Arabidopsis thaliana: one gene and its partners. The protein of the gene in region 1 interacts with the protein of each later gene in a pairwise test. Each region holds a gene or a part of one and is shown on either strand. Other genes may lie near its edges. The genes, in order: IAA6, ARF8, NPH4 and LSMT-L.

Region 1 (3,717 bases):
AATTGGATGTAGTATATATATAGACTTCAAATCTGCTACCTGCAAACTGATATGATCATTTAATACGGAAGATATGGCAACATTTATTTGGACCGACAAAGTGGTTAGAATCTTCACCCAAAACTACATTTGATATGATATAGGAATAAGCCAGCTTTAATTTGGCTCTTGGTGAAAGAAAAAAACAAATATTTAACATTTTTCATTCTTTCTTAAATTAGTTGGGAAGATTCATTAGGTTTTCACTATTTTTAGCTCCGTTTAAGATTCATAGGTTTCCACTATCTTTGGATCGGCGATAAAAAGATGATTTAGCCGGAGGATTTATAAAGTTATAATAATCACGTACCACTTGATTTTTAAGAGAAAATAATAGTAAGTCTAGAAAACTACTAAAGCAAACTATTGTGAGGCATTACTTTGTTGTTATGGTTTTTTTGTAGTTGATTACCCTCGTTTCCTTTTGTACTTTTGTGAACAATTTCAAGTGTTATATTTCATATGAATCATTCAGACGAAAAAAAAAAGTATTGTGAGGCTAAGAAACACCTTTAATGAGCCATAAAACATTAAAGTATGATACGACCAGTAAGGAAATACATTTGAAGAAAACGTATATATCATCATTATCATATAAATTTTACAATTTGAAAAATGATTATAATGAAAAAAAATTACTCAACGGTTTTCAAACTTTATGGTTAATTAAAGATGATCAACACTAGCTAGTATGATTAATCTTGCTGGAGACCAAAACCAGTTGCATCTGATCTCTTCACGATCCTCAGCCTCTTGCATGATTCTTTAAACATCCTGCCGACAAAAAAAATTTACAATTTAAAAAATAAAATTACAAATTTTTGACTTGTAAGAGGTTAATTATATTCATTTTGGTAAATTTGATAATTGAGCATTGTAATGCAAGCTAAACATAAACTTACTGCCAAGGTACATCTCCGACGAGCATCCAGTCTCTATCCTTGTCTTCGTATATAATAATGTATTCACACTTCTTACCCTCCTTCGCCACTCCTGCATAGTTTATATATACATGTGTTATATTTCATAAAGTTCCAACTAATATATGTGTTTTACTCTCTTCACACTTCCAATATATATAGAAACCCTAACAATACGTATATATAAAGTTTATAGCTCAATTATAAACATGGTCATGTAACTATTAACTAACGTTACGGGAAATTAGTCCATGCCATTACTAACCTATGCCAAGACAGCCGAAGAGATTCTCAAGAACCGTGACTAGATTAATATAACTGTTGCTCGAACCAAGGTCAATCTTCCTCATGTATGGCACACCATCCATGCTCACTTTCACGTAGCCTATAGCTTTCGATGCTTCCTCATTGTTCTTCTTTCTCCTGTAAGAACACACAGGTGGCCATCCCACCGCTTGACTCTTCACAACCGGCAGTGATTCATCTTCAACTGATGAAACGACGCTGTTTTCATTCTCAGTATCTAACGCTGATGAGGTCATCATATCCGAGAGCACCCTCTTCTTCTTCTTACTCGATCCGCATACTGATATTTCGCTATAATTATCTCCTGGAAGACCCAATCGAAGCTCTGTGATCTCGAGTGCTAGACCTTCCTTTGCCATTTATTTCTTCTCTTTTTTCTTTTTGTTTAAATTTGGCTATATGAAGTTTTGATACTTTTTTTTTCTCTCAAGCACTTCTCTTGTTGGAATGATAGTATTGAGCTGCCTCGTGCTTTTATATGTTGTCAAGTTGCTCCAACAAGATCCAATAATATACTGACACATGGAAGAGACTAACATTCATAATTATTTCTGTTAGCTTTGTGGAGGAAGACAAGGTTAGACCAAAGACAGGTCAACTGAGGATGTGTTGGTCGGTCACATGAGAGACATATGTTGGGTCCTTGTTCTTCATTTTTGTTTATATAGGATTTGTTTTAAGAGAACAAATCTTACCGGTGTTAATATTTGTTAGGTTTCTTATAAGATTTATCATTGGCCATCTTTCCTAAACATTACATGTGTTATCCTTAATAATATACAATTATGTATTCTAAGGATACTGTATTAGTATTATTTCTTAGCCTATTCTTGCTCACATTTTTATTTGGTAGTTGAATACAAATTGTACATACAGGTACATCAAGAATCACATAATGTAGATTTGAGAATCAATGAAGAAAAAAACCCTCACATCAAGGATTGGAATTAGAATTAAGGAAGTTGAGTGGGAAATAACATGTAATCAATAGGACACGTCTATCATCGGACTATCACTAATGTTTTTTTTTTTCTTCTTTAATTTACTTTATTTGTGGCTATTATTTTTCCTATTTTAAATATCTTAATGCTTAATATTTGTTCACATTTCTAAAAAATAACGGCTGGATTTTGTGATAGAATGAATAGATGCATTTAGCTTTAAATTCGTTACTTAGTGACCTAAGTTAGTTACAAAATATAACACAAATAATCTGAATAGGTAAGAGTAATCTGGTTCTTTAGTCTACTACTCTACTCTATAAACAATCTTTTGCATCGATCATATTCAAATCTGGATTTTGCAATATAATATACAGCTAGATATTTGAGGGAAGAAAATGAAAAAACGTGTACGTGAGTTGGTTCTTGAATGAAGAAGAACAAGAAGTTGGTCCATGTGACATAATATGAACCATAACAATTAGGCAGACGCGTTAATTTCACTTCATATCAAACAACATTGGTCGTCCCAAGTGTTAAGTGTCTTTCACCAATGTTTCCATGCATTTATGATTTATGTCCCATTAATTCTTCTATATAGTGTATTAATATTTAATCTCGGATACTTTAGTAATACGTATCTGCCAAAAATCATTTGGTATACTTTTCCACGTGATTCATAGAGAAGAACGACCAAATAAAAATAAGATGTCAAGTATGTTCCTACATCGCGTAGCTAAATGATGAAACCGCATGAACTTTGATTTGAATATTTATTTTTGGGTCATATACTAATTCTGATCAAATAAATAACACGCAACTTGGAATAAATTTATGTATATAAATGTAATCAGAACCAACAGAATATATATCTAGTTCGAAATCATGAAGGCAACTATAAAATTCAGTATTTACAAGTGTGATGATAATGAAAGTGTAATTGTATGAATCTCCGTGAATGGAGAGTTATGTATTGAACATATATATAGGGTTACATGAGATAAGCATAAATCTGTTCCTAAGATATTAGATATATACAAATATAAGATTCTCATATATATAATCTAACAGAAAGACAGAGATCATAAGAAGAAGAAAAAAGAATGATTCAGTTTGATATTTTTATATATTTCATATTTTAGAGAAGAAAAAAAATGTGTTTTAAACTAGATAATGTTTTCAACTTTCAATGTAAATTTTTTTAATTGTTTTCACGATTTAAGTTCTGTAGGTTGTTTTATTATTTGTTGAATCGTATTTAGGTACATAATAAATGATTTTTAGTTTAAAAAATAAATAAAAATAAATGATTAATTAATTTGTGTGCAAAACATTTAAACATCTAGTATCAAAGACGGAAGAAGTATTTAAGTTGGAGTTGATAAACCTTATAAACTTCCAAATACCACTACAAGAAAACAAGCGATTTGCGAGGACAATTTGCGATGGAAACAATCCCTCGCAAATTGCTACAGATTTGCGAGACATTTGCGAGGGAGAGAAGACACGTC
Region 2 (7,541 bases), on another chromosome or scaffold:
GTCTTAGTTCATTTTTCATAAAATTTAAACAATTGAATAAAATCTTTATAAGTTAATATCAGTATACATTAATAAAATAGCATGGTACTAACATTATCAATTTATAGATGTTTTATTGTATTATTGATGAGTAAATATGCATATTTATGTCCACTGAAAATAATTAATTGATAAATTTAAAATATATTGAAATTATAGTAATCTTAATTTTAAATTTAATTTCATGTAATAGTATTTGTTTTGTGCCCATGATGATGAGCCCATATAATTTGACATCATGTTGTTTTAAAAAATCAATCGTTGAGTTATATAAATGATTGCGACGTATCGCACGATATTACCATCGATAGAACGAAGGAAACTTCCATTTAGCAGTTTTTTTTATTCAAAAAACATATCTTTCATATAATAGAAGTGGAAAAGTTACACCAAGGAAAATTGAACCTACAATCGAAATAAATGAGATAACAAAAGTATTACAATAAATTTATTGAAAGACACCAAACCAGATGAATGATCCGTTGAGCTATCCAACAAGGGTCTAGATGACATTGAAGAATGTTAATGATAAATAATGAGAACTGAGGCTGGCTTTGAGGATGAATTATGCAATCTTGCATTGCGCTTTTTTCCATATGGAGTACAGTGAGGCTTGATAGGCAATTCGAAGAATCAAAGTAGTTTTCTTGTCACGACAAGGATTCTTCAACCATCTAACTTCATCCTCAAATTGATTTAGAGGAGAAAGATGGGCTTTATCATAGAAATAGTGTCATACCTTTGCAACATAAGAGCAGTCGAAGAATAAATGTTAGCGAGATTCATCCATCAAATTACAGAGAAGACACGACGAAGGAGTAGTCATGCCCCATCGAATCATTTTGTCTCTAGTGAGAAGTCTATGATGAGACTTTAGCCAAGCAATGAAAGCATGCTTAAGAATCCTTCCTGGAAATCACACAGATTCAAACCGATCCATCTTTGTGTCAGGAGGATGAAGATGTGCATAAGTTTTTTTTTGAATATTAATGTGCCTAAGTTTTAGCAGCAGAGAAAATATTTGATGCATGGATATCATCACCTTCCAAAGGTAAACATCATCCTCTACATCCTCTTGTAAGTTAACAGTAGAATAGGAAGGAAGACATTCTTTAAGCAACTGAATAATGGGACTGCGACTTCGAGAATTTGTAAGCCACTATTGTCTCTTTCTCAATGCATCCGCAACCACAACAGAACGAGGGAGAAGAGAAATTCTTAGTCATAAATCTTCAGGTTAGCTCGACAAATATGGTCCCAAAAAAATCCAATTATCAGTCCAGAAATTACAAGTTATTTCTGAACCAATTTCACAAACGATGAAAAACCTAGTTAAGGGTCTTAACTTGCAAAGATTATTCCAAATCCAGCTTCTCCAAGTGATACACTCCATATCCCAAATTTTTTAAAAATTATTCAAACAAGATCCATGTGTATTAGTTTTCTCTTTTGGTAAGTAAAATAGTGGTATCCATAAGATGTTGGATTATCGGGCATCTATTTGCTAATGATTGTTTCTAAATTAGAACTTAGATTTGCGAATCTAATAATACATCACTTATCAATAGATAAACCTTTGACCATTTTTTCAACGAACTCATAAAAGATCCAACAAAATATTTTTTGAGTTATTAAATTAAATACTACTATAAATTATCTTTAAATAAATCAAATTATGGGAGTATTTGGTGTTTCTTTCATCAATGAATGGAGCAAAAATAAAAAGTATTTAAAATAAACAACGCTAACATTTATGACAACTCTATTATCTCTCTCTCACTCTCTCACTTCAAATACTATAATTCATTGTCCTTTTCATCGAATCCAAGACCTCAAAAAAAACAATTATTATTTTTCAACGATCAAGATCTCAAGAGTCAAATCCAACGGTCAAAAAGAAGTGACTCTGGTACTGACACCACCTCTCATAATTCTCGTTAGTAGGACCTCTCTTCTTCTTCCTTCTCTCCACTGTATCGGATCCGGGTCAAATCCGGGTCGGGTGGAGTCGGGTCGGGTCTCTTATAAGAGGAGGAAAACCACTTACTCACTTTCTTCTTCTTTTCTCTCTCTCTTTCACCCCCACGCACTCTTCTTTTCTCTCTCTGACACATATCTTTTTCTCTCACTAACCATTTCTTTCTCTCTCTCTCTTCTGTTTTTGAAAGCCAAAGTGTCTCTCTTGGACAGTGATGGAACTGCTTCAAGAGATTTAATTTTTTACCCACGAGAGAAGTCAAGTTGTTGAAGAAGAAAGATTTGTTCTTTTGTCTTGTTTCTTTCATTTTTTCATCCACAAAGATCTCAAAGACAAGAGTTTTTTTTTTTCTGTTGGGGTTGCTTCAATGCGTACTTGTAGTAGAGAGCTTGTGTTGTTGTTCATGGTTTGATGATGAGAAGAAACAGATTCTGGTTTTGAAGAAATGGGGTTTGTTCTGTTTCTTGTGTTTAAGGGTTTTATGGATGGTTTTTTGATTCGAAGCTTTCACTGAGTCTTATGGTTGTGAGTGAGATTTTTGGGGGTTTGAACAAAGGAGATGGAGAAAGACGAGTTTGTACTTCCGGAGCTAAAGAGTTATAGCTACTGTAGTAGCTGGAAGTGAAGAAGATTTTTTAATAGATTGTACGGAAAAATTAGGGTTTTCAAAGTTTGGTTTCTTGAAGTTGAATTAGACATGAAGCTGTCAACATCTGGATTGGGTCAACAGGGTCATGAAGGTGACTTGTTTACTCTCTGATTTTCTTAGTTCTGTTTCTGGACAAGTGTTTTCTTAGTTCTTGTGTCTGTGTTTGTTCTAACAGGAGAGAAGTGTCTGAATTCTGAGCTATGGCATGCTTGTGCTGGACCATTAGTCTCTCTTCCATCATCTGGTAGTCGAGTTGTTTACTTTCCACAGGGTCACAGTGAACAGGTTTGGGTTGTTGTTTAAAAGTATGGAGCTTTATTTTTAGACTTGTGTTATATTTGGGCATTTCCATTTAAATAGAAGTGTACTTGTAGGTAGCTGCTACAACTAATAAGGAAGTTGATGGTCACATACCCAATTACCCAAGCCTACCACCACAATTGATATGCCAGCTCCATAATGTTACAATGCATGTGCGTAGTTAGTTCCCTGTCCCTTTCCATATTCAATTTTTACTTTTGTAAACTAGTTTTGGGATGATGTGCTTTGTAAGTATGGGTTTCGTTTCTACTATTTCAGGCAGATGTTGAGACGGATGAAGTCTATGCTCAAATGACACTTCAACCATTGACACCGGTAGATACATTATACATAACAGGTTTTTGAGTCTGTGAATTAATAACTTAAGCTTTAGGATTGGTGTTGTTTATAGGAGGAGCAGAAGGAAACATTTGTACCGATTGAGTTGGGGATACCGAGTAAGCAACCTAGTAATTATTTTTGTAAGACTCTCACAGCTAGTGATACCAGTACACATGGAGGGTTTTCTGTTCCTAGACGTGCTGCTGAGAAAGTGTTTCCTCCATTGGTATTATACTTTTTCTTTTACTTACTTTGCTATAAATTGTTGTTGAGAAAATATATGTATTCCTTTTAATATCTTGTGTCTTCCCTGTTGCAGGATTACACACTGCAGCCACCAGCTCAAGAACTGATTGCAAGGGATCTCCATGATGTTGAATGGAAGTTTAGGCATATCTTTCGGGGTAGGTTTCACCTTTCCTCGGTGTGCGTTGATGATCCCTTTTTAACTGTAGTCGCCAGTGTAAAAATTTCAATTGGCTGTTAAGTATGTCTGAAGCAGCATCTGCTGTTATTTTCACTACTCATGTGTGGTTTAGTTGAAGAAACCACGGAGGCTCTGTGTTCTTGTCGTTGTCTATTATAACGTGGAATTATTTACTTGTTCATATGAAGTTAAGTTGATTTGAATCCTTCTTCTTGGTTTGTTAGGAATAACTTACATGGTTTTGGTGTGATTATGCAGGACAGCCCAAACGGCATCTCCTAACTACTGGATGGAGTGTCTTTGTCAGTGCCAAGCGACTAGTAGCTGGAGATTCTGTCATTTTCATCAGGTTTAGTTCTTTTGTTGTACGTTCAGTTTGTGGATTGTGATTATATTTGTAACACTATTACTTGTTTCCAGGAATGAAAAGAATCAACTCTTTTTGGGAATTCGTCATGCCACTCGGCCGCAGACTATTGTACCATCATCTGTTTTATCTAGTGATAGCATGCATATTGGACTCCTTGCTGCTGCTGCACATGCTTCTGCAACTAATAGCTGTTTCACTGTTTTCTTTCATCCAAGGTTGAAAAATCTCTCCCACCTGCATCTTTTTCATCTCTCGGTATATCCGATAATATATCCTACTAATATTCTCTTCATGTTCAGGGCTAGCCAATCTGAGTTTGTGATACAACTTTCCAAGTACATTAAAGCCGTTTTTCACACGCGTATTTCAGTTGGGATGCGCTTTCGCATGCTCTTCGAGACAGAAGAGTCGAGTGTCCGCAGGTGATGATGCCACATATCTGGAAATGCAATCTTGAAACTGAGAAAACTATATCATTATGTTACACATATTACTTTAACATGTTTTCTGACAGTGGCATGGGGAACTTTCCAGGTACATGGGTACTATAACTGGTATTAGTGATCTAGATTCTGTTCGTTGGCCAAACTCTCATTGGCGATCTGTGAAGGTAACAACACTATTAAGCCTGTTACCTTATTTAAATTCCATGGAACGTCACACAGCTTTCTGATGATTTAGTCCAATATTACTCTGAAATTCCATCAACATTGATGAACTGTGGCATTATTGGTGTAGGTTGGTTGGGATGAATCGACTGCAGGGGAGAGACAGCCAAGGGTTTCTTTATGGGAGATTGAGCCTCTGACTACCTTTCCTATGTATCCATCTCTTTTTCCTCTCAGACTAAAACGTCCATGGCATGCTGGCACATCATCTTTGCCTGGTATCCACCTTTTGGCTCTTCTCCTAACTGTTATTAACTAGTATAGTACGTTCGTGAAGTCTCTTACTGTCACTCAGTGTTTCTGCTATTGTAACTTAGTTGCTACTTCGGATAAATAACAAATGTTCGATTGAGTAGAGCTCTGAAGAGGGTCTTACTGTTATAATTTATTTACAAAGAAGTGTGTAGGTACTCTCCATAGCTATTTACTCAAAACATTATGATGTTACAGATGGAAGGGGTGATTTGGGAAGTGGTCTAACATGGCTAAGAGGGGGAGGTGGAGAGCAGCAAGGTTTGCTTCCTCTAAATTATCCATCTGTTGGTTTGTTTCCATGGATGCAACAAAGGCTGGATCTCAGTCAAATGGGGACTGATAATAATCAGCAATACCAAGCAATGTTAGCTGCTGGGTTGCAGAACATCGGCGGTGGAGATCCTTTAAGACAGCAGTTTGTACAGCTGCAAGAGCCTCACCACCAATATCTTCAACAATCAGCTTCCCATAATTCTGATTTGATGCTTCAGCAGCAACAGCAGCAACAAGCGTCACGCCATCTCATGCATGCTCAAACACAGATTATGAGTGAGAATCTTCCGCAGCAGAATATGCGACAAGAAGTTAGTAACCAACCAGCTGGACAGCAGCAACAGCTACAGCAACCGGACCAAAATGCATATCTTAATGCTTTCAAAATGCAAAATGGCCATCTTCAACAGTGGCAGCAGCAATCAGAGATGCCATCTCCCTCGTTCATGAAGTCAGATTTTACTGACTCAAGCAACAAATTTGCAACAACTGCTAGTCCGGCTTCTGGAGATGGCAATCTTTTGAATTTTTCTATAACCGGTCAGTCTGTACTCCCTGAGCAGTTAACAACAGAGGGCTGGTCTCCAAAAGCATCCAACACTTTTTCTGAACCGTTGTCACTTCCACAAGCCTATCCTGGGAAGAGTCTTGCTCTAGAACCCGGAAATCCGCAGAATCCCTCTCTTTTCGGTGTTGATCCCGACTCTGGACTCTTCCTCCCCAGTACGGTTCCCCGCTTTGCTTCTTCATCAGGAGATGCTGAAGCTTCCCCTATGTCACTAACAGATTCAGGATTTCAGAATTCCTTATATAGCTGCATGCAAGACACAACTCATGAGTTATTGCATGGAGCTGGACAGATTAACTCGTCCAACCAAACCAAGAACTTTGTAAAGGTGCTGGTTTGTTCTAGGCTCACCGACTTCTCTGTGGCTCTACTGTCTCTAAGAAAATACTGATATGCTTACAAATCCAAAACTGCAGGTTTATAAATCTGGTTCGGTTGGGCGTTCATTAGACATCTCCCGATTCAGCAGCTACCACGAGCTGCGAGAAGAGTTAGGGAAGATGTTTGCTATCGAAGGGTTGTTGGAAGACCCCCTTAGATCAGGCTGGCAGCTTGTATTCGTTGACAAGGAAAATGATATTCTTCTCCTTGGTGATGACCCATGGGAGTAAGTAAAGTACTCTTCTTCTATTTGTATACATTGCTTTAGATTTGAGATAGATCTTTAAAAGCTTGTTCTGCAGGTCATTTGTGAATAACGTTTGGTACATAAAGATACTATCACCAGAAGATGTGCATCAAATGGGAGATCATGGAGAAGGCAGTGGTGGGTTATTCCCGCAAAACCCGACCCATCTCTAGAAGCTGCTTCGGTGTTAGTCTCATCATGCTACAACGCGGGAGCCCTTTGTTTCCCATTTGAAGTCGTTTCCACTCATCTTTATATGCCATTCGTTCGCATCTCTCTCGTTTTGACGTTTTTAGAAAGAAACATAATCATATTTGTGAGTATGGGTCCTGAAACTTTAGGACGTACTTTAGCTTGTATTAGACAGACACTCTCGTCATAAACATAAGAACCTTTATGTAGCTGTCTCAGGGTAACTAAACTTTTCTAGTATTTATTCTTATTCTATTTTTGTAACAACATTGTTAGACATTCAGTTTGGTCAGACCAATTAGATTCCATAAGGTGTGAAACCAAAACCAACCAAATCTTTAAAACACAACCATTAATCACAAAATGTTACCAAAAGCTTCTACTAGTAACTTAGGTTGAAGAATGACATAGATGAAGTACCAACAACTCATTTTCTCCCTTTCTTTTTGACCCAAAGAGTACTTAAACGTGCACACACATCAGACTTATCAACCTTGGACAGCATTCATGGCATCTCTCAATCTCTTATCATCTTTAGCATCATAGAAGCATTTACGTCTCTTCGAGTCACTTATAAGGTTTGCCCAAATCGAACCACTCCGAGCCAGTGTTGACTCATTTCCAATCACCCATAAACAGTGCCTAGCTCGAGTGAGTGCCACATTGGCTCTTTGACGGTTACTGAGAAATCCAACCTTCCCGTTACTATTACTTCTAACGGTAGAGATGATGATAATGTCTTCTTCACCACCTTGAAACCCATCTACAGACCGAACATTCACAGTGAAAAGCTCACCTGATAAGGAACTGTACTTATCTCTGATTCTCTCTTGGATTGCTCTAACTTGTCCT
Region 3 (7,663 bases), on another chromosome or scaffold:
TTCATCTTGTTCATTTTCCACTTTCCACTGCGGACACCATACGGACACACAACCGGTTCTGAAATGCGTCACGCTCTTCTTCCTTTCATTCCAACTTTAATACATGCATGAAGTCGTAGTTCGGAGTTCATACTAAATTTCGGTCACTTTGTAATAAGAAAACTATTAACATTTTTCTTTTTCTTTTTTTAAACGTTAGCTAGGCCTCAAAGTTTCACAAAAAAAAAAGAAAAAAAAAAGCTAGGCGTCGAAATCCATAACTTCAAAAGGCCTTCTTACATTCATCCAATCTCCAAACTTCTGTCTTCACGCATTTATTGCTCAGGGACATCATGTCGCTACTCACTGCCACTTATTTGAATTGACATCCATTCATTCCATACATATATATTACCTTCACTTAAAGTTGTAAGTATATAGAATTTTAAGCATTCCTGCCAAATAAGTTTTGGATCGAACCTAAACTAACAAAGAGGTTACTGTTTTGTAACTTTCTTTTTTGATGTGGGGTCATTCAAAGGGTTTACATGCATTTTACAATGGTCTGTGATGAATATGGAGGTTCAGTCTTTGGTAGATAAAACTTGTTATGTGGCCTTAAACCAAATAGATTGTAGTTTGTACAATGACATATTTATGGTTATATTCGGTTTTCCAATATGTTTAGGAATATATATCACCGTTTTTTTTTGGGTAGACATTTTAACGATTATAGAGGAAAATTTTGAATGATGGCTGTACTGGGAAAAGAGTGTAAGTTGTGATCATCATATGTAATTTTATTTTGTGTGACATTATAACACTTCTTCCAAAAGACAAAAGTTTAGGTTAATTAATATAAGAAACCAATAAAGAATCATGAACAAAGAGAGAACTTCTATCATTTTTGATATGAAATCGTCCGTTAAAATATTGTTCTTTGTGATCGCATATGCTGTATGTACTTAGATTTGATCAATTAATCAACATTTACAACAAAATAAGATCAATTGTTTATAATGATGATCTAAGCGAATTTAGATTTGTTTGTTATTATAGAACTCATTACTAAACATTTAAGTTCCATTCTCGTTTAAAACATGAACGCTAGTTTATGAAACTCAGAACCAACCATGTAAAACTCCACAAAATTTCTAGTAAAATGCTTTTGTTCAAAATAATGAAAATCATAAAATTTTTTGATGAATTATGAATCCTAAAATCTATCTGAATTAAATATAGTTAACTACAAAAGAAATTGCCAAACATATATGTACGCACTTTGATCAAATAACTAGCTAGTCAGCTTAGTTTGTTTTTTTCAATACATCCCCTATAAATCTATGTTATCCCTAATCAAGTATTACAATAAATGATACAGTAATAATAACCTTAATGAAAAAAACTTATCAAATTATCAGAGATAAGGAAAAAGAAAACACTAATAAAGTTGTTTTTTTGTGTGTCAAAGTTAAAATTTTAGAGGACAATAATAACATTAAGAAATTAAATCGTGGCCAGTTTGCTAGTGAATATGTCGGCTTCATGAGCATAACTAAATAGGTATAAAAAAATAAAAATATCGGAAAAAGAAAAGAGAAGGAAAAAAAAAGGAGAGGAAGAAGAAAAAGCTGTTCCTGTGCTTTAGCAGACCTTTTGGTAGTTGTCCTGGTCGCTGATCATCCCTTTCCGACAACTCTGTTGCTCTTTCTCTCACGTTTGAGTCTTAATCTTCGATTGTCCTTGGTCATCCTTAAGTTTTGTTTTTCTCTTTCGATTCATTTTCCAGATTTCTTTTTATAGAAACCCGTCTCTTTGATTTGATTCCCCCCAAGAAAGGAAAGCAAAACAAAGAAGAGCAGCTGAATCAAGTAACTTTGTGGGTGTTTTTGAATTATCTGACTCGAGATAAAGAGCTTCGTTAAAAACGGAATCTTTTTTAAGGTCGTATGCTTTGTTTGTCTCTCCGGAGATTCCGCGTGTGAAAAGTCGTGGTTTTTGATCTCTTTGAGATACTTAAAATTTCCGAGAAATTGGCGGCTCTGTCGGAGATAAAAAGCTGAGATCTTGGAGTTCCCCATTTCTGATTAACGATTCTCTCTGCTGTTACTTGAGCTAGGAAGCTATTAACAACTTGAGTGAAAGTTTAGGGCTTTTGATGAAGCTCTCACGCAAAGAGCTTAGCTTTGTATAAGCTCAGATTCAGATTATTTATTGGGTTTATTCTTCAGAGAAAGTAAAGTTGAGTGATCATGAAAGCTCCTTCATCAAATGGAGTTTCTCCTAATCCTGTTGAAGGTTTGTGTGTTTCTCGTATCTGATAAATGTCAATCCTTTAGTAGAAGAAATTCATTGCTGGATTTGAATAGATTCAAGTTTTAAGTAGAAGAGGTCACACATTTCTTCAGAATTGCTGGATTTGAGAACCTGAATTGAATTGGTTTCGGTCATTTTCTGCTTAGAGAGTAAGCTAAGTTACTATTGTATTGGTTTATAAAGACTGTGGCTTTTAGTTGGTTTAGAGCAGTTCTCTCCTATCTTGTTGGTTTGATAATAGTAACTGAATGAAGATCCTAGAGATTTTAAGTAATCACAGCTTTGATGTTGTGTGAATGCAGGAGAAAGGAGAAATATAAACTCAGAGCTATGGCACGCTTGTGCTGGGCCATTGATTTCGTTGCCTCCAGCAGGAAGTCTTGTTGTTTACTTCCCTCAAGGTCACAGTGAGCAAGTATGTTGTTCAATAAAGTTTGGTATCATTCGCGGCTGATCAAGAATGAGTCGCTGATTGGAAATTTCATGTGGTTGCTATTTATTTTTCTGTTTCTTAGGTCGCGGCTTCAATGCAGAAGCAGACTGATTTCATACCAAGTTACCCGAATCTTCCTTCCAAGCTCATATGCATGCTCCACAATGTTACACTGAATGTATGGTATCTTTTAAATATCTATAATGGCCTCTTAGGCTAGTTGTTTTAACATTTTTTGCTTTTGAGTTGCTAATGTTTTGCTAATTGTCGACTGTGAACCAGGCTGATCCTGAGACGGATGAGGTCTATGCGCAGATGACTCTTCAGCCAGTAAACAAAGTAGCTTACCTTTCACTGAATAACTCGATTTATAGGTGTATTTAAGGAGTAGGGAGGGACTAATTGCTCTGAGCATTTTGTTGAACAGTATGACAGAGATGCATTGCTTGCTTCTGACATGGGTCTTAAGCTAAACAGACAACCTAATGAATTTTTCTGCAAAACCCTCACGGCGAGTGACACAAGTACTCACGGTGGATTTTCTGTACCCCGACGAGCTGCTGAGAAAATCTTTCCTGCTCTGGTGTATATACAATACTTTCTTATACATCTGATAGTTAGTATCTCTGTATTGCCTTAGTTTCTTACATTGTTGGCAATATTTTACTAGGATTTCTCGATGCAACCACCTTGTCAGGAGCTTGTTGCTAAGGATATTCATGACAACACATGGACTTTCAGACATATTTATCGAGGTTTTACCTTGTTTTTGGTAGATTACCTTCTTTAATCAATTTGGCTTTCGTAGAATTGTTCTTACGTTTTGGATATGTTGACATTTATCAGGTCAACCAAAAAGGCACTTGCTAACTACAGGCTGGAGTGTGTTTGTCAGCACGAAAAGGCTCTTTGCTGGAGACTCTGTTCTTTTTATAAGGTATATCAATCTCAATGTGCCAATGCTCTCTTTCGGTATTTTTTTTTGTCAAGATGCTAATTCTTTTTTTCTTTCAATTAAGAGATGGAAAGGCGCAACTTCTGTTGGGGATAAGACGTGCAAATAGACAACAGCCTGCACTTTCTTCATCTGTAATATCAAGTGATAGCATGCACATCGGAGTTCTTGCAGCTGCAGCTCATGCTAATGCTAATAACAGTCCTTTCACCATTTTCTACAACCCGAGGTGGCGATCTATGTTTCCTTTTGTCTACGTTAACCTTACTATATATGCTTGTTTCATGGCAATTGCTGAGAGATTTACAACCGAGTTTTTTCAGGGCTGCTCCTGCTGAGTTTGTGGTTCCTTTAGCCAAGTATACCAAAGCGATGTACGCTCAAGTTTCCCTCGGTATGCGGTTTAGAATGATATTTGAGACTGAAGAATGTGGAGTTCGTCGGTATATGGGTACAGTTACCGGTATCAGTGATCTTGATCCAGTGAGATGGAAAAACTCTCAGTGGCGGAATCTTCAGGTAGTTTGAAGTAAAACTCATGATGAATGTCAGATTTGTCTTTCTTGATACATTGCACCATTCATTTTAGTTATGCTTTGTTTCTGTTTCTGCTAAAGATTGGATGGGATGAGTCAGCTGCTGGTGATAGGCCCAGTCGAGTTTCAGTTTGGGACATTGAACCGGTTTTAACTCCTTTCTACATATGTCCTCCTCCATTTTTCCGACCTCGCTTTTCTGGACAACCTGGAATGCCAGGTAAATTTTTGTACCATTTCATTTCGACACAACTTCTTTGAATCTCCTCAAGGACGGAATTTCCGGTGCTCTTGCAGATGATGAGACTGACATGGAGTCTGCACTGAAGAGAGCAATGCCATGGCTTGATAATAGCTTAGAGATGAAAGACCCTTCGAGTACTATCTTTCCTGGTCTGAGTTTAGTTCAGTGGATGAATATGCAGCAGCAGAACGGCCAGCTACCCTCTGCTGCTGCACAGCCAGGTTTCTTCCCATCAATGCTTTCGCCAACCGCGGCGCTGCACAACAATCTTGGCGGCACTGATGATCCCTCCAAGTTACTGAGCTTTCAGACGCCGCACGGGGGGATTTCCTCCTCAAATCTCCAATTTAACAAACAGAATCAGCAAGCCCCAATGTCTCAGTTGCCTCAGCCACCAACTACGTTGTCCCAACAACAGCAGCTGCAGCAATTGTTGCACTCCTCTTTGAACCATCAACAACAGCAATCGCAGTCTCAACAACAGCAACAACAACAACAGTTGCTGCAGCAGCAACAACAATTGCAGTCTCAACAACACAGCAACAACAATCAATCGCAGTCTCAGCAACAACAACAATTGCTCCAGCAGCAACAACAACAACAACTGCAGCAACAACATCAACAACCGTTACAGCAACAGACTCAGCAGCAGCAGCTAAGAACACAGCCATTGCAATCTCACTCGCATCCACAGCCACAACAGTTACAACAACATAAGTTGCAGCAACTTCAGGTTCCACAGAATCAGCTTTACAATGGTCAACAAGCAGCGCAGCAGCATCAGTCGCAACAAGCATCTACACATCATTTGCAACCACAATTAGTTTCGGGATCAATGGCAAGCAGTGTCATCACGCCTCCGTCCAGCTCCCTTAATCAAAGCTTTCAACAGCAACAACAACAGTCTAAGCAACTTCAACAAGCACATCACCATTTAGGTGCTAGCACTAGCCAGAGTAGTGTAATTGAAACCAGCAAGTCTTCATCCAATCTGATGTCCGCACCGCCGCAAGAGACACAGTTTTCACGACAAGTAGAACAGCAGCAGCCTCCTGGTCTCAACGGGCAGAATCAGCAAACACTTTTGCAGCAGAAAGCTCACCAGGCACAGGCCCAACAGATATTCCAGCAGAGTCTCTTGGAACAGCCGCATATACAGTTTCAGCTGTTACAGAGATTACAACAGCAACAGCAGCAGCAATTTCTTTCGCCGCAGTCTCAGTTACCACACCATCAATTGCAAAGCCAGCAGTTGCAACAGCTGCCTACTCTCTCTCAAGGTCATCAGTTTCCGTCATCTTGCACTAACAATGGCTTATCGACGTTGCAACCACCTCAAATGCTGGTGAGCCGACCTCAGGAAAAACAAAACCCACCGGTTGGGGGAGGGGTCAAAGCTTATTCAGGCATCACAGATGGAGGAGATGCACCTTCCTCTTCAACGTCGCCTTCCACCAACAACTGTCAGATCTCTTCTTCAGGCTTTCTCAACAGAAGCCAAAGCGGGCCAGCGATCTTGATACCTGATGCAGCGATTGATATGTCTGGTAATCTTGTTCAGGATCTTTACAGCAAATCCGATATGCGGCTAAAACAAGAACTCGTGGGTCAGCAAAAGTCCAAAGCTAGTTTAACAGATCATCAACTAGAAGCATCTGCCTCTGGAACTTCTTACGGTTTAGATGGAGGCGAAAACAACAGACAACAAAATTTCTTGGCTCCAACTTTTGGCCTTGACGGTGATTCCAGGAACAGCTTGCTCGGTGGAGCTAATGTTGATAATGGCTTTGTGCCTGACACGCTACTCTCGAGGGGATATGACTCCCAGAAAGATCTTCAGAACATGCTTTCAAACTATGGAGGAGTGACAAATGACATTGGTACAGAGATGTCTACTTCAGCTGTAAGAACTCAATCTTTTGGTGTCCCCAATGTGCCCGCCATTTCGAACGATCTAGCTGTCAACGATGCTGGAGTTCTTGGTGGTGGATTGTGGCCAGCTCAGACTCAGCGAATGCGAACTTATACAAAGGTTCGATTGTGCTCTGATCTATGCTTGTTGATATTTGGGTTATGTTTTCGGTTTGACAAATGTTAAATTTTCCTACAGGTGCAAAAACGAGGCTCAGTGGGGAGATCAATAGACGTCAACCGTTACAGAGGTTACGATGAGCTGAGGCATGATCTAGCGCGCATGTTTGGGATCGAAGGACAGCTCGAAGATCCTCAAACATCTGACTGGAAACTTGTTTATGTCGATCATGAAAATGACATCCTCCTCGTCGGCGATGATCCATGGGAGTAAGTAGAGAGCAATTACATTCACACATCAGACTGTTAGAAGTTCCATTATTTTTTTGCTAACCTTTAAAATCGTGATTTTTGCAGAGAATTCGTAAACTGTGTTCAGAGCATTAAGATCCTTTCATCAGCTGAGGTTCAGCAGATGAGCTTAGACGGGAACTTTGCCGGTGTACCAGTTACTAATCAAGCTTGTAGTGGCGGTGACAGTGGCAATGCTTGGAGAGGTCATTATGATGATAACTCAGCCACTTCGTTTAACCGGTGATGGCAGAAGAGTTCTCTCACAGACAAAGATTCTTTTTTCTTCGTTTTGTAATATAACTTCTCGTTGATAACATGTCTCAAGTTTCCACTGGGCACTGTAGAGCATTTACCTGTAAAATATCTTCCACTAAGTTTACACGGAGATTTTATTTGCTGTGAGTCACTGTTTCTACCAAGTTTAACTGATCAACTGAAACCGCTTGTAACCAAAAAGAGAAGGAAAAACATGAAATCAGCAATAAAATCACATTTTCAAACTCAAGTCTTTATTCCAGATTATGCTCAGGCCGTTTACGGAAAAAATTTCCACAATTGGGATACAAGTTGCAGATTACAAAGATATAACATAACTAAGAAAGTATAGCCATCACATCTGAAGCTCTGAGGGCAATGTAGTTGGAACCATCTTTGCCCTTGAAGTCGTTACCAGCATACTTGGAGTAAAGTACTGTGCTTCCGGTTGATACTGGTAGAGGCGTAATTTTACCTTCCTCGTCTAGGGAACCCGGTCCAACTGCTATCACCTGCCATAAAATGAAGAGGAGAATATGTATAATTGGAACTTGTGTATGAACTGACTATCACATCAAGCTACTAAGAAAGTATCAGATTCCCCGAATGGACATGATATC
Region 4 (4,650 bases), about 15 Mb from region 1:
AAATTAGTTATCTGTAAGATCAAACTAATTAAGTTTTCGAGTTATTTATGCCTCATGGACAGTTGTGGAGCCAATTTTCATATTTAACATCATCTACATTTGTTATCCTATAAAGGCTACGGTTTAATTTCTGAATACTAAGATTCTATAAAAATATATTTTTTAAAGAGTCATGGAGACAATAGTGAGTAGTTGACAAGGAATCTGAGTCTCTCCTTATTAAATGTTAGGCATATACTGTTTGTATATAAAAGTTAATTAGCCATCCATTTTGACCTTCTCGAACTAAAGGAAGCCTTTTCACCTAGCCATAGAATATACATATACAATACCATTTGTAGTTAAATTTAATAACTATCCTATTTATATGAGTTTTTAAAAAAAAAAAAAAAAGAGTAAAGGTAAGATATCTGTTTGGCAACGAACTAAGAAAATATATTTTAGAGGGATGAATTTTGTTGACCAACCTGAATTGTGTCAATCCGACCACCACATCATGTCGTCATCCCGATATTGACCGCGTTTTGTGGTTTTCGTGAGAAGTGTTTTCTCAGTCTCTGATTTAAAATTGCGATTAGTGAGTTGTTTTTCAGGTTTACCACACGAGTTTCGGCGCGACAAGCGGTTCCGTTAGAAGAGTTTATGTTCTTGACATTTGATATTTTGTATGACAAATTAGTACTTATTACATTTTGACAAAGAAAAATACACTCTATTGAAACAGTCTAATTGCATATTAACAACTAAAACAGTCTTGTTGCCAATTTTGGAATTTTGAACAATTTTTGAAAGTAATGAAAAGTCATTCACGTGTCTCCCATCTCAAACTTAACACGTTATATTAGCAAAAGTAAACTGATCTTAATCAATATCGACGTTGTACCTTAATTTCATGGACCAAGTTATTGTCTAAAACTTAAAATAGCGGCCATTTCGACGGAAAAAAGTAGCAATAAACTTTGGTTTTCTCGTTAATAATTAAAGTTATATCAGAAACATATTTGGAATTGATCATAATCTTAATTAAGCCGAGAGAGTGTAATAGGTTTTGTTTTGTTTTTTGATAAGAGTGTAATAGGGTTTCTGATAGGTATCACATTACACATGTACCTTACTGGTCTCATATCCCGTGGTCAAGCCGGCAAAACAAGAGAAAGGAAAGTTCCGCTTTTACATGTGATTACTACGTACGTACCATTACCTATATTACAAAGTAAATTACTTGTCTTCTACGTTGATGGAGAATAGTGGATCATTGTACCCCCTAAATTACAAATTTAAGACTAATTTCTATTTGATTAAGAATAGTGAATAAGACTTGTATATTTGATTCTTCAATTACAATAAGTATTTTAGCACACAATTAAATATGAACTACTTAAACACATAATTAAATCAAAAACATTTGAATTAGACCACTTGATATTATGATGATGATGATGATTATGAAGGTATGTGTGATATGGTGGGTACATACTACATATATGTCTCGGCCAATCTCTTTTGTTGTTGTTGTTGTTGTTGTTGTTGTTGTTGTTGTTGTTGTTGTTGTTGTTGTAACATGTTGCATTATCTTGGAGGAATTTAGAATGAATATTGGGATCTCCATGAGATGTTACCTATTTAAAACTCAAGTGTCAAGTCAGTAGATTTGAGGTTGAAGCTATAGTTGACCATTTTTCTTCTTACAAAGGTTGAGATGACAAAAAAAAAAAAGAAAAAGAAGTTGAAGCTACCATAAGTTAAAAAGATAATTTTTTAAAAATGAAAATAAATACAGACAATTAACAATTTAATTACATCAGAACAAAAATAAAATGTAGGCCTTGGCCTTTTAGAATAATGGGCCTTTAACATTGGTAACTAGAATAACTAGATTTTTGTCTCATCAACAACTTAGAAAAAACTGATGTGATATTATTGTTATCCACACACTCTCTGTTTCACTGATACTACCCGCCATCGGAAAACCACCATGTCAGCCTCCGTCGCCGTCGTGTCGGGTTTTCTCCGTATCCCGTCAATTCAAAAGTCTCAAAACCCTTCCTTTCTCTTTTCTCGACCCAAGAAATCTTTGGTGAGACCCATTTCAGCTTCAAGCTCAGAGTTGCCGGAAAATGTTCGGAATTTCTGGAAATGGCTCAGAGACCAAGGAGTCGTATCCGGGAAGTCTGTGGCAGAACCTGCGGTGGTACCGGAAGGTTTGGGACTTGTAGCCAGGCGTGATATTGGAAGAAACGAGGTCGTATTGGAGATTCCCAAGCGATTGTGGATAAACCCAGAGACAGTGACTGCTTCCAAGATTGGACCTTTATGCGGCGGATTAAAGCCGTGGGTTTCAGTAGCTCTGTTTTTGATCAGAGAGAAGTATGAAGAAGAGTCTTCATGGAGAGTTTATCTTGATATGCTTCCTCAATCTACTGATTCTACTGTCTTCTGGTGGGTTTTGTCCTTCTCTGATCATCAATTGTATCTCTGATCAACACTAAGCTGATGAGATGTCTTCTTCGTGAAATGTCTCCAGTACAGGTCAGAAGAGGAGCTTGCTGAGCTTAAAGGTCCATTTTCTTACCCTTTTCTTTGAAAAGTCTGATCATTGTTTAGATTCATACCAATTGGTCTGAGTAGCAGTAGCTGATGATGATGTACATTATTAACTTTGTGGTTACTGTTGTTTGGCTCAGGGACTCAACTGTTGAGCACCACATTGGGTGTGAAAGAGTATGTGGAGAATGAATTCTTGAAACTGGAACAAGAGATATTACTGCCTAACAAAGATCTCTTCTCATCCCGCATAACACTTGATGACTTCATATGGGCGTTTGGGATCCTCAAGTCGAGGGCTTTTTCTCGTCTCCGTGGCCAAAACCTTGTCTTGATCCCTCTTGCAGACTTGGCAAGCTATCTTCTTGTTTCAGATATTGTCTAGTGAAAACTTCAGAAAATAATCTTCATTCATTGATGCTTGGCTCAGCAGAGAATCTCTGACTTCAATGTTTGAATTTGAACAGATAAACCATAACCCCGCGATAAAGACAGAAGATTATGCATACGAGATCAAAGGAGCCGGCCTTTTCTCTAGAGATCTCTTATTTTCCTTGAAGTCACCTGTTTATGTTAAAGCAGGTGAGCAGGTATGCTCCAAACACTGTCTACTTAGTTTTCTCCCTCAAGAGTGTAAGAACAAGCCCTTTAATACTGTTTGGATGATCTCTTCCATAGGTATACATTCAGTACGATCTGAACAAAAGCAATGCAGAACTTGCTCTCGACTATGGTTTTGTGGAATCAAACCCTAAACGGAACTCATATACTTTAACAATAGAGATACCAGAATCAGACCCATTCTTTGGGGATAAGTTGGATATTGCTGAGAGTAACAAGATGGGTGAGACCGGATACTTTGACATAGTAGACGGCCAGACTCTTCCCGCTGGTATGCTTCAGTACCTTCGGCTTGTGGCTCTTGGCGGTCCAGATGCTTTCTTATTAGAATCTATCTTCAATAACACCATATGGGGTCATCTTGAATTGCCTGTAAGTCGTACAAACGAGGAACTCATATGCCGTGTTGTCAGAGATGCCTGCAAATCTGCTCTGTCTGGTTTTGATACGACCATTGAAGAGGTATATATGTTCGAGCTCTTACTTGTACTGTCTTTGCAGCTTAACACTCATTTCTTACTCGTCTTCATCGTCTGTTGTAGGATGAGAAGCTTCTGGACAAAGGAAAGCTTGAGCCTAGGTTGGAAATGGCTCTCAAGATAAGGATTGGTGAGAAGAGAGTGCTTCAGCAAATCGACCAAATCTTCAAGGATAGAGAGCTTGAACTTGACATTTTAGAGTATTACCAAGAGAGAAGGCTCAAAGATCTTGGGTTGGTTGGCGAACAAGGGGATATTATCTTCTGGGAAACCAAGTGAGAATTAGCTTAGCTTGTATAGCTTATCCTGCAGAACAAACTCAAGGCTAGAAAGAAAATCTTTACTGGTTTGGTCTCAGACCACATAGACTTGAATCAACCTCAAGACATCAGAGTTGAGAGACCACAATTTGTATGTTAGGCTATTGCCAAAAGCAGGCTTTTTGAAATTCTATAAGATGAGACATAATCTTCTTTTTAGTTACATCTTAATTTACGTAAAACTAAATAAATCAAGATCAGCAACTATGCAGGAAAATTGAAAAAAATTACAAACAAAAATGGAAAAACTCAGGGAAGGAACTATGCAGCTCCCGTTCAAGTGTTTGACATGCCGTCCTCTTGCGGAAGCAATGAGATATAATATGCTAAAAACATGACTTCAATGTGTTAAATTTCTATGGCCAAACAGGTCGTGGCAATTTGTACCTTCACAAAGACATTCTTGAGGATTTGCGTAGAAGTAATCTTCCTCCTTAGGTTTGTCAGAGATTACTCTTCGATGAGTAGGTGCTCCTGCTCGTCTCTCATGGGCTTCCTTGACTGCTACTGCAAACTGATCCCACGTGAGGGTCTTGTTGTGATGTAAGTCTAGTAGCTCCACGAGTCTCTTACGGTCAAGCAGGATTGTCTTCTTATATCCAAGGTATCTGCAAATTCAAATCAGATATAGACCAATAATGGTTATATAGAATCACAGGTTTGGTTATTCTTAACACCACCTTTTT

What was found.
Region 2: the proteins of IAA6 (region 1) and ARF8 interact in a two-hybrid assay, tested with the Arabidopsis thaliana proteins (2 studies listed by BioGRID).
Region 3: the proteins of IAA6 (region 1) and NPH4 interact in a two-hybrid assay, tested with the Arabidopsis thaliana proteins (2 studies listed by BioGRID).
Region 4: the proteins of IAA6 (region 1) and LSMT-L interact in binary tests that used the Arabidopsis thaliana proteins (3 or more experiments, as listed by UniProt).

What each region holds. Positions count from the first base shown.
Region 1 is NC_003070.9:19,671,936-19,675,652, forward strand, and holds IAA6 (indole-3-acetic acid 6), read right to left. Parts: upstream 1,718-3,717; 5' UTR 1,625-1,717; coding exon 1,225-1,624; intron 1,033-1,224; coding exon 942-1,032; intron 814-941; coding exon 735-813; 3' UTR 541-734; downstream 1-540. UniProt on the Arabidopsis thaliana protein: Aux/IAA proteins are short-lived transcriptional factors that function as repressors of early auxin response genes at low auxin concentrations.
Region 2 is NC_003076.8:14,627,437-14,634,977, forward strand, and holds ARF8 (auxin response factor 8), read left to right. Parts: upstream 1-2,016; 5' UTR 2,017-2,714; coding exon 2,715-2,757; intron 2,758-2,841; coding exon 2,842-2,951; intron 2,952-3,040; coding exon 3,041-3,139; exon of another isoform or gene 3,140-3,245; coding exon 3,246-3,302; intron 3,303-3,378; coding exon 3,379-3,534; intron 3,535-3,627; coding exon 3,628-3,712; intron 3,713-3,993; coding exon 3,994-4,084; intron 4,085-4,155; coding exon 4,156-4,320; intron 4,321-4,404; coding exon 4,405-4,527; intron 4,528-4,639; coding exon 4,640-4,715; intron 4,716-4,843; coding exon 4,844-4,991; intron 4,992-5,223; coding exon 5,224-6,197; intron 6,198-6,285; coding exon 6,286-6,476; coding exon of another isoform or gene 6,477-6,480; intron 6,481-6,552; coding exon 6,553-6,670; 3' UTR 6,671-7,018; downstream 7,019-7,541. Other genes in the region: AT5G37030 (P-loop containing nucleoside triphosphate hydrolases superfamily protein), read right to left, coding at 7,178-7,541. UniProt on the Arabidopsis thaliana protein: Auxin response factors (ARFs) are transcriptional factors that bind specifically to the DNA sequence 5'-TGTCTC-3' found in the auxin-responsive promoter elements (AuxREs). Seems to act as transcriptional activator.
Region 3 is NC_003076.8:7,016,073-7,023,735, reverse strand, and holds NPH4 (Transcriptional factor B3 family protein / auxin-responsive factor AUX/IAA-like protein), read left to right. Parts: upstream 1-1,622; 5' UTR 1,623-2,231; coding exon 2,232-2,277; intron 2,278-2,597; coding exon 2,598-2,710; intron 2,711-2,810; coding exon 2,811-2,906; intron 2,907-3,010; coding exon 3,011-3,067; intron 3,068-3,155; coding exon 3,156-3,311; intron 3,312-3,398; coding exon 3,399-3,483; intron 3,484-3,574; coding exon 3,575-3,665; intron 3,666-3,747; coding exon 3,748-3,915; intron 3,916-4,006; coding exon 4,007-4,202; intron 4,203-4,300; coding exon 4,301-4,439; intron 4,440-4,516; coding exon 4,517-6,495; intron 6,496-6,573; coding exon 6,574-6,764; intron 6,765-6,851; coding exon 6,852-7,032; 3' UTR 7,033-7,266; downstream 7,267-7,663. Other genes in the region: CPN20 (chaperonin 20), read right to left, coding at 7,382-7,555. UniProt on the Arabidopsis thaliana protein: Auxin response factors (ARFs) are transcriptional factors that bind specifically to the DNA sequence 5'-TGTCTC-3' found in the auxin-responsive promoter elements (AuxREs).
Region 4 is NC_003070.9:4,804,766-4,809,415, reverse strand, and holds LSMT-L (Rubisco methyltransferase family protein), read left to right. Parts: upstream 1-1,898; 5' UTR 1,899-1,975; coding exon 1,976-2,439; intron 2,440-2,529; coding exon 2,530-2,558; intron 2,559-2,684; coding exon 2,685-2,896; intron 2,897-3,011; coding exon 3,012-3,134; intron 3,135-3,222; coding exon 3,223-3,627; exon of another isoform or gene 3,628-3,707; coding exon 3,708-3,923; 3' UTR 3,924-4,110; downstream 4,111-4,650. Other genes in the region: AT1G14020 (O-fucosyltransferase family protein), read right to left, coding at 4,305-4,572. UniProt on the Arabidopsis thaliana protein: Protein-lysine methyltransferase methylating chloroplastic fructose 1,6-bisphosphate aldolases. Can also use with low efficiency gamma-tocopherol methyltransferase as substrate, but not a cytosolic aldolase.